2 linked regions of the Anolis sagrei genome follow. The protein of the gene in region 1 interacts with the protein of each later gene in a biochemical or structural test. Links are inferred from orthologs where the notes say so. Each region holds a gene or a part of one and is shown in the gene's direction. Other genes may lie near its edges.

The links.
Region 2: the proteins of VCPIP1 (region 1) and WAC form a complex in vitro, tested with the Homo sapiens proteins (2 studies listed by BioGRID). The link is inferred for Anolis sagrei from reciprocal best matches to the Homo sapiens genes VCPIP1 and WAC.

What each region holds. Positions count from the first base shown.
Region 1 is NC_090024.1:45,411,007-45,414,918, forward strand, and holds the start of VCPIP1 (deubiquitinating protein VCPIP1), read left to right. Parts: upstream 1-994; 5' UTR 995-1,257; coding exon 1,258-3,912. UniProt on the Homo sapiens protein: Deubiquitinating enzyme involved in DNA repair and reassembly of the Golgi apparatus and the endoplasmic reticulum following mitosis. Necessary for VCP-mediated reassembly of Golgi stacks after mitosis.
Region 2 is NC_090026.1:110,880,764-110,884,675, forward strand, and holds the start of WAC (WW domain-containing adapter protein with coiled-coil), read left to right. Parts: upstream 1-1,215; 5' UTR 1,216-1,528; coding exon 1,529-1,569; intron 1,570-1,702; coding exon 1,703-1,739; intron 1,740-3,912.

The sequences.
Region 1 (3,912 bases):
GTTTTAAGCTCAGGGCCCTTCCACACAGCCATATAACCCAGAATATCAAGGCAGAATCTTCCACAATACCTGCTTTGAACTGGGTTACCTGGGTCCACAATGCCATATATTCCAGTTCAAAGCAGATAATGTGGTATTTTTAGCCTAGATATTTTGGGCTATAAGGCTGTGTGGAAGGGCCCTTGGTTATCTGAACCCACACTGCCATATATCCCAGTTCAAAGTGGGATTTTTTGCCTTGATATTCTGGGATATAGGACTGTGTGGAAGGGCCCTTGGTTACCTGAGTCCACAATGCCATATATCCCAGTTCAAAGCAGATAATGTGGGATTTTTAGCTTTGATATTCTGGGCTACAGCGCTGTGTGAAAGGGCCCTTGGCTATCTGAGTCCACACTGCCATATATCCCAGTTCAAAGCGGGATTTTTCGCCTTGATATTCTGTGATATAGGACTGTGTGGAGGGGCCTTTGGTTACCTGAGCCCACACTGCCATATATCCCAGTTCAAAGCAGGATTTTTTGCCTTGATATTCTGGGATATAGGACTGTGTAGAAGGGCCCTTGGCTATCTGAGTCCACACTGCCATATATTCCAGTTGAAAGCAGATATTGTGGGATTTCCCACCTTGATATTCGGGGCTATAGGACTGTGTGGAAGGGCCCTGAGCCCACCCTGCCATATGTCCTAGTTCAAAGCAGATACTGTGGGCTTTCCCGCCTGGACCTTCTGGGCTGGAGGGCTGTGTAGTGGAGGGCCCCCTGGCTGCTCCCTTCTCTGCCCCCTGCGCGGCCTTCACGGAGAAGGAACGCGCCGCCGACGTCACTCTCCTCACGGCAACCAACTCCCGAGGAACGCCGAGGAGCATTCTGGGAAACGTATTCCCTTTCAACGCGGGGAGGGGAAGAACTACACTTCCCAGGCTCGTTTTGGTTCCTGCGCCGCGTTGCATGACGGTCCTCGTAGTTGTGCGCCTTGCGCGGCGCCGTTGGGATGACAGCTACTTCCGGCGCGGAGGGGACTACAATTCCCGTGGTGGGCGTCGAAGGAGAAGGGGAAAGGCCGTTAAGTCGGGCAGTGAAGAGGCAGTTAGTTGGCGGAAGGAAGGAAGGAAGAGAGGAAGCAAGGAAGCGGAGGCCGGTTCTGTCAGGTTCTGTCAGGTGTTGAAGGGAGAAGGAAGGAAGGAAGGGGGAGAGAGGGAATGAGCCCGTGAGGGGGCGAGAAGGCCGGGGAGAGAGCGGAGCGAGGCGGGAAGCGATGTCTCAGCCGCCTCAGCCGGACCCGCCGGCGGCCTCCTCTTCCTCTTCCTCGTCGTCGTCGTCGAAGCGCGACCGGCGCATCTTCTCGGGGACGTGCCCGGAGCCCAAGTGCGGGGCGCGGCTGTTCTTCCCGGCGGTGCAGGGGGGCCCGCTGAGCGCCGGGAGCGTGGAGTGCACGGACTGCGGGCGGCGGCACGAGGGGCGGCAGCTGCTCTCCGTGGAGGAGGTCACCGACCCGGACCTGGTGCTGCACAACCTGCTCCGGAGCGCACTGCTGGGCGTGAGCGGGGCCGGCCCCCCGCGGAAGAGCACCGAGCCCGTCAAAGTCATGGGCCTGTCCAACTACCACTGCAAGCTGCTCTCCCCCATCCTGGCCCGCTACGGCATGGACAAGCAGACGGGCAAGGCCAAGCTGCTGACCGAGATGAAGCAAGGCGACGTCTTCGACTGCAGCCTGCTGGGCGACCGGGCCTTCCTCATCGAGCCCGAGCACGTGGACACTGTGGGCTACGGCAAGGACCGCTCCGGCAGCCTGCTCTACCTGCAGGACACGCTGGAGGACATCCGCCGGGCCAACCGCAGCCGGGAGGAGTGCCTGGTCCCGGTGCACGTGGACGGCGATGGGCACTGCCTGGTCCACGCCGTCTCCCGGGCGCTGGTGGGCCGGGAGCTCTTCTGGCACGCCCTGCGGGAGAACCTCAAGGCCCACTTTGTGGAGAACCTGGCCCGCTACAAGGTGCTCTTCCACGACTTCATTGACGCCGCCGAGTGGGACGACATCGTCAACGAGTGCGACCCGCTCTTCGTGCCCCCCGAGGGCGTCCCCATGGGCCTGCGCAACATCCACATCTTCGGCCTGGCCAACGTCCTGCGCCGGCCCATCATCCTCCTGGACTCCCTCAGCGGGATGCGCAGCTCGGGCGACTACTCCGCCACCTTCCTGCCCGGCTTGGTCCCGGAGGAGAAGTGCACGGGGAAGGACGGCACGCTCAACAAGCCCATCTGCATCGCCTGGAGCAGCTCGGGGCGTAACCATTACATCCCCTTGGTGGGGATCAAAGGTGCTGCTTTGCCGAAGTTGCCTCTGAAACTGCTTCCCAAAGCGTGGGGAGTGCCTCAGGACCTTATCAAGAAGTACATCAAGTTGGAAGAGGACGGCAGCTGCGTGATTGGAGGGGATCGGAGTTTGCAAGACAAGTACTTGATGAGGCTCGTTGCCGCCATGGAGGAAGTGTTTATGGATAAGCACGGCATTCACCCGAGTTTAGTGGCCGACGTACATCAATATTTCTACAGACGAACTGGTGTAATTGGAGTTCAGCCTGATGATGTTACGGCCGCCGCTAAAAAAGCCGTGATGGACAACCGCCTTCACAAGTGTCTGATCTGTGGTGCACTTTCAGAACTCCACGTTCCTCCCGAGTGGTTGGCTCCAGGGGGGAAACTGTATAATCTAGCAAAAACTACCCATGGCCAGCTAAGACCAGACAAAAACTACAGTTTCCCCCTTAATAGCTTAGTGTGCTCCTATAACCCTGTGAAGGATGTACTTGTCCCAGACTATGGTCTGAGTAGCCTGACTGCTTGTAATTTGTGCCATGGCACCTTGGTGCGTCGTGTGAGGAGTGATGGCTCTGTTGTGTATTTGGATGGGGATAGAACAAATACTAAATCCACAGGTGGCAAATGTGGCTGTGGATTTAAGCATTTTTGGGAAGGCAAAGAGTATGACAATCTCCCCGAAGCTTTCCCTATTACTTTGGAGTGGGGCGGGAGAGTGGTGAGAGAGACCGTGTACTGGTTCCAGTATGAGAGTGATCCATCTCTGAACAGCAATGTATATGATGTTGCAATGAAACTTGTTACTAAGCATTTTCCGGGAGAATTTGGGAGCGAGATTCTTGTCCAAAAGGTTGTTAATACAATTCTACATCAGACGGCCAAAAAGAACCCCGATGATTATACCCCTGTAAACATTGATGGTGCTCATGCCAGAAGAGCTGATGATGTGCAACAAGGGCAGGACTTGGAATCTCAGCTTCCAACTAAAATTATTCTTACGGGACAGAAAACAAAAACGCTGCACAAAGAAGAGTTGACCATGAGTAAGACCGAAAGAAGCATTCAGCAAAACATTGCAGAGCAAGCGCCTATAATGCAGAAGCGGAAAACGGACAAATTGAAACAGGTGCAGAAAGGGCCAACTCGAACTACTTCCCCAGGTGCTGTCCCTGACGGGTCATCTTCTGCACCCGCTACCCCAACCAAGACTCCTTATTCCCCAACATCTACAAAAGAAAAGAAAATACGTATAACAACAAATGATGGGCGGCAGGCCATGCTCAATTTGAAGTCCACAACAACATTTGTCGAATTGCAAGAGAGCATTGCTAGAGAATTTAGTATTCCTTCCCATTTGCAGTGTATCCGTTTTGGCTTCCCTCCCAAAGAGCTTTTGCCACCCAAAGAAGGGCAGGAAAATGAACCTGTTCCTCTGCTGCATGGAGATAGAATAACTGTAGAGATCCTAAAAGGGAAGGAGGATATTAGCCAGACGACTTCAGTGCACTCAGCCCATGCTGTGAAACATGATGATGTTGCAGTAACTAGTAAAATTTCTTCCAAGGAACTCCAGGAGCAAATTGACAAGGAG
Region 2 (3,912 bases), on another chromosome or scaffold:
AGCTGGACCTTAGGGAAGGCTGAGCGAAGGAAGATAGATGCTTCTGAGCTGTGGTGCTGGAGGAAAGTGCTGAGAGTGCCTTGGACTGCGAGAAGATCCAACCAGTCCATCCTCCAGGAAATAAAGCCCGACTGCTCACTGGAGGGAAGGACACTAGAGACAAAGTTGAAGTACTTTGGCCACATCATGAGGAGACAGCAAAACCTAGAGAAGACAATGATGCTGGAGAAAGTGGAAGGCAAAAGGAAGAGGGGCCGACCAAGGGCAAGATGGATGGATGGCATCCTTGAAGTGACTGGACTGACCTTGAAGGAGCTGGGGGTGGTGACGGCCGACAGGGAGCTCTGGCGTGGGCTGGTCCATGAGGTCACAAAGAGTCGGAGACGACTGAACGAATGAACAACAACAACACACCGATTTGAATCCTACCCACAGGAGAAAAGCGGGATACAAATAAATAAATAAATAAATAAATAAATAATAATAATTATTATTATTATTAAGTGCAGGCCAAGGTCTTTAGGCACTGCACCCAGTGTGCTGATCACCACTGGGACCACTTATTATTATTATTATTATTATTATATGCTATTATTATTATTATTATTAATATTATTATTATTAGATACACAACAAGATTAGTACACAGTAAACAAGACAGAGGGTAATTTTGTCAGCGCCGATTGTTTTTATTATCATAATCACCATTTAATTGCTTTGTATTGTATTTGTTATTGCTTGTTTTGCTTGTATTGTTGTATTGTGGGCTCGGCCTCATGTAAGCTGCACCGAGTCCCATGGGGAGATGGTAACGGGGTATAAATAAAGTTTATTATTATTATTATTGGTAGTAGTAGTAGTAGTAGTAGTCTTCGCCCGTCTCTCGGCTCTTTCCGGAAACACCCGATGCCTTTCCCCGGCGAAGAAGGCAGGAGCGGAGAGAGCCGACGTCGCCCGAAAAGCAGGGCTTGGTCCGGAAAATACCGAAGATGAGTAGAAGGCGTGTCTTCTTCAAACCCGAAGGGGGAGGGATCGGCTGGTGTCCGGAAGCGGCCGAGGATACCCGAAGTGCGAAGCCGCGAAAAGAGGAAGGCAGGCGGAGGAGAGGGAGGAGCTTGGGCGGAAAGAGCCGAGCGGAGCCGACGTTTGGCGAAGGCGTCGTCGCTTGAGTTTCCCGGATGTAGTTGGACGGCGGTAGTGTTGGGAGCAGTGACTGAGGGAGAGGGAGGAGGAGGAGGAGGAAGGAAGGAGGAGGGGGGAGGAGACGGTGGTGGCGGCGGCGGGAGGGGGGAGACGTCGTCGTCGTCGTCGCCGCCTTCGCCTTCCTTCCTTCTGCGTTGCGTTTCCGCGTTGCGTTCCGTTGGGCGGCGAGGCGATGGGCCCGTGAGCGCCGCTGGGCCTCTCTCCTCCTCCTCCTCCTCCTCCCTCCCCTTCCTCCTTCCTTCCTTCCCCGTCCGTGGCCCAGCCGCGCCCTCCTCCTCCTCCTCCTCCTGGTCCCCTCAGTCTCTCTCTCACAGGCCGGGCATTGATGGTAATGTATGCGAGGAAACAGCAAAGACTCAATGATGGGTAAATAAGCCCCCGTCCTCCATCTTCCTCGCCCCCCCCTTCCCTCCCCCTTCCTCCCCTCCCTCTCTCCCAACCGCCAGTAACGGCCACTCTCTCGCTAACGCCACTGTTTCTCTTTTTTCTCTCCCTTCAGCTGTCACGACCGCAAGGGGGACTCGCAGCCCTACCAGGTACCTCCTTCGCCGCCGCCGCAGCGGAGTGTGGGAGGAGGGCCGGCCGCAGCTACTCCAGCGCAGGCTTGGCCCGCCGCTCTAGGCCGCAAAGGGCCTCGGCCTGCTTCCTGGGCCGCGCGAACAAGGGGAGGGAGGGAGGAAGGGGCGGCCTCCAACGGGAAGGGGGGGAGCGAGAGAGGCCTAGCGCCCCGGATCTGAGCCCAGGTCGTTTCTGTTTATCCCGGACTATCTTGCACTGTGGGCTCCTATAACCCAGTTTCAAGCAGACCACCTGGGATCAGATCCTGAGATAGAGGGTCCGTCTGGAATGACCCGTAGATAGGTCTTTTTTTCTTTTTGGGGAGGAGGGGGCGTTCCCCCCCCCCCTTTAAATTAACACAGCAGTGTGAGGCAATAGCTTAGAACAGGCATTCCTAACAGCCATGGCAGTTCCAAGTGGTGCATAAATTCAATATCATGGGCAAACTTCAGCCCTCTTGGTGTTTTGGGCTGCAGATCGCACCCTTCCTAACAGCCATGGCAGTTAAAGTGGTGGCCGACTGCATAAATTCAGTGACATGGGCAAACTTTGGCCCTCCAGGTGTTTTGAACTGCAGCTCCCACCATTTCTAACAGCCATTGGTGTCCAACTGCATAAATTCAATGACACAGGCAAACTTTGGCCCTCCTGGTGTTTTGTACTGCAGCTCCCACCATTCCTAACAGCCATGGCAGTTCAAGTGGTGTCCGACTGCATAAATTCAATGACACAGGCAAACTTCGGCCCTCCTGGTGTTTTGGACTGCAGATCCCACCACTCCTAACAGCCATGGCAGTTCAAGTGGTGGCCGACTGCATAAATTCAGTGACACGGGCAAATTTCAGCCCTCCTGGTGTTTTGGACTGCAGATCCCACCATTCCTAGCAGCCATGGCAGTTAAAGTGGTGTCCGACTGCATAAATTCAATGACATGGGCAAACTTCGGCCTTCCGGGTCTTTTGGACTGCGGATCCCACCATTCCTAACAGCCATGACAGTTCAAGTGGTGTCCAACAGCATAAATTCAATGAAATGGGCAAACTTTGGCCCTCCAGGTGTTTTGGACTGCAGATCCCACCACTCCTAACAGCCATGGCAGTTCAAGTAGTGTCCAACGGTATATATTCAACGGTGTGCCTACATCAGACATGGGCACACTTGGGCCCTCCATGTCTTTTGGATTTACACTCTCATAGCTCCTTATAACTTCGGGCCCCTTCCTTTCCTCCCTCGGCCACTTAAGTGGCTGAGGGGGGAAAGGAGGGCCTGTGGCTGTTAGGAATGATGGGAGTAGAAGTCCAAAACACCTGGAGGGCCAAAGATTGCCTATGCCTGGGCTAGAAATTAAAACTGCCCCCCCCCTTATTTATTTCTAACCCTCTCCTCAAATTTAATAAAGGGTAAGTTCTATCCAAGAGAACTGTTGTTGTCCCTTGCCACCGCCCTTTCCTGGCCCCCAACTACACTGCAGCTTCTCATGCAGTTTCAGACTGTATCATATGGTCAGGGTACATTCATTCAGTGCAGCTGAGCTCACTACAACAGGCATGTGCAAACTTTGGCCCTCTTAGAAATTATGGGAGTTGAAGTCCAAAACACCTGCCAGGCCAAAGTTTGCACATGCCTGCACTACACTGTTAAGAGTGCTGTTATTCCACTTTAAATCCCATGCCTGCCGCCTCTGGATTCCTGGGATGTGCACTTTAGGGAGGGGTCTTCAAAATTCCAAACTGGATGTGTCCTGGGCCTCATTACGTACAAAGGCCAGAATTCCACAGGGGGCTGTCATAGGATTTAAAGTGGAACAACAGTGCTTCAACAGTGTAATGTGATAATTTATATAAGTCTATATCAGGCATGGGTAAACTTCAGCCCTCCAGGTGTTTTGGGCTTCAACTTCCATAATTTCTGACAGCCAGTAACTTCCATTATTCCTGACAGCCGGTAGGCTGTTAGGAAGTGTGGGAGTTGAAGTCCAAATCACCTAGAGGGCTGAAGTTTGTCCATGCCTGGTCTACAATCATAGAACTATAGAGTTGGAAGAGACCTTGTGGGCCATCCAGTCCAACCCTCCCAAGTAGCAGGAAAATCTCATTCAAAGCATCCCCGTTTTATGGTCTACACTGGCCATATGATGCTGTCTCAAATCAC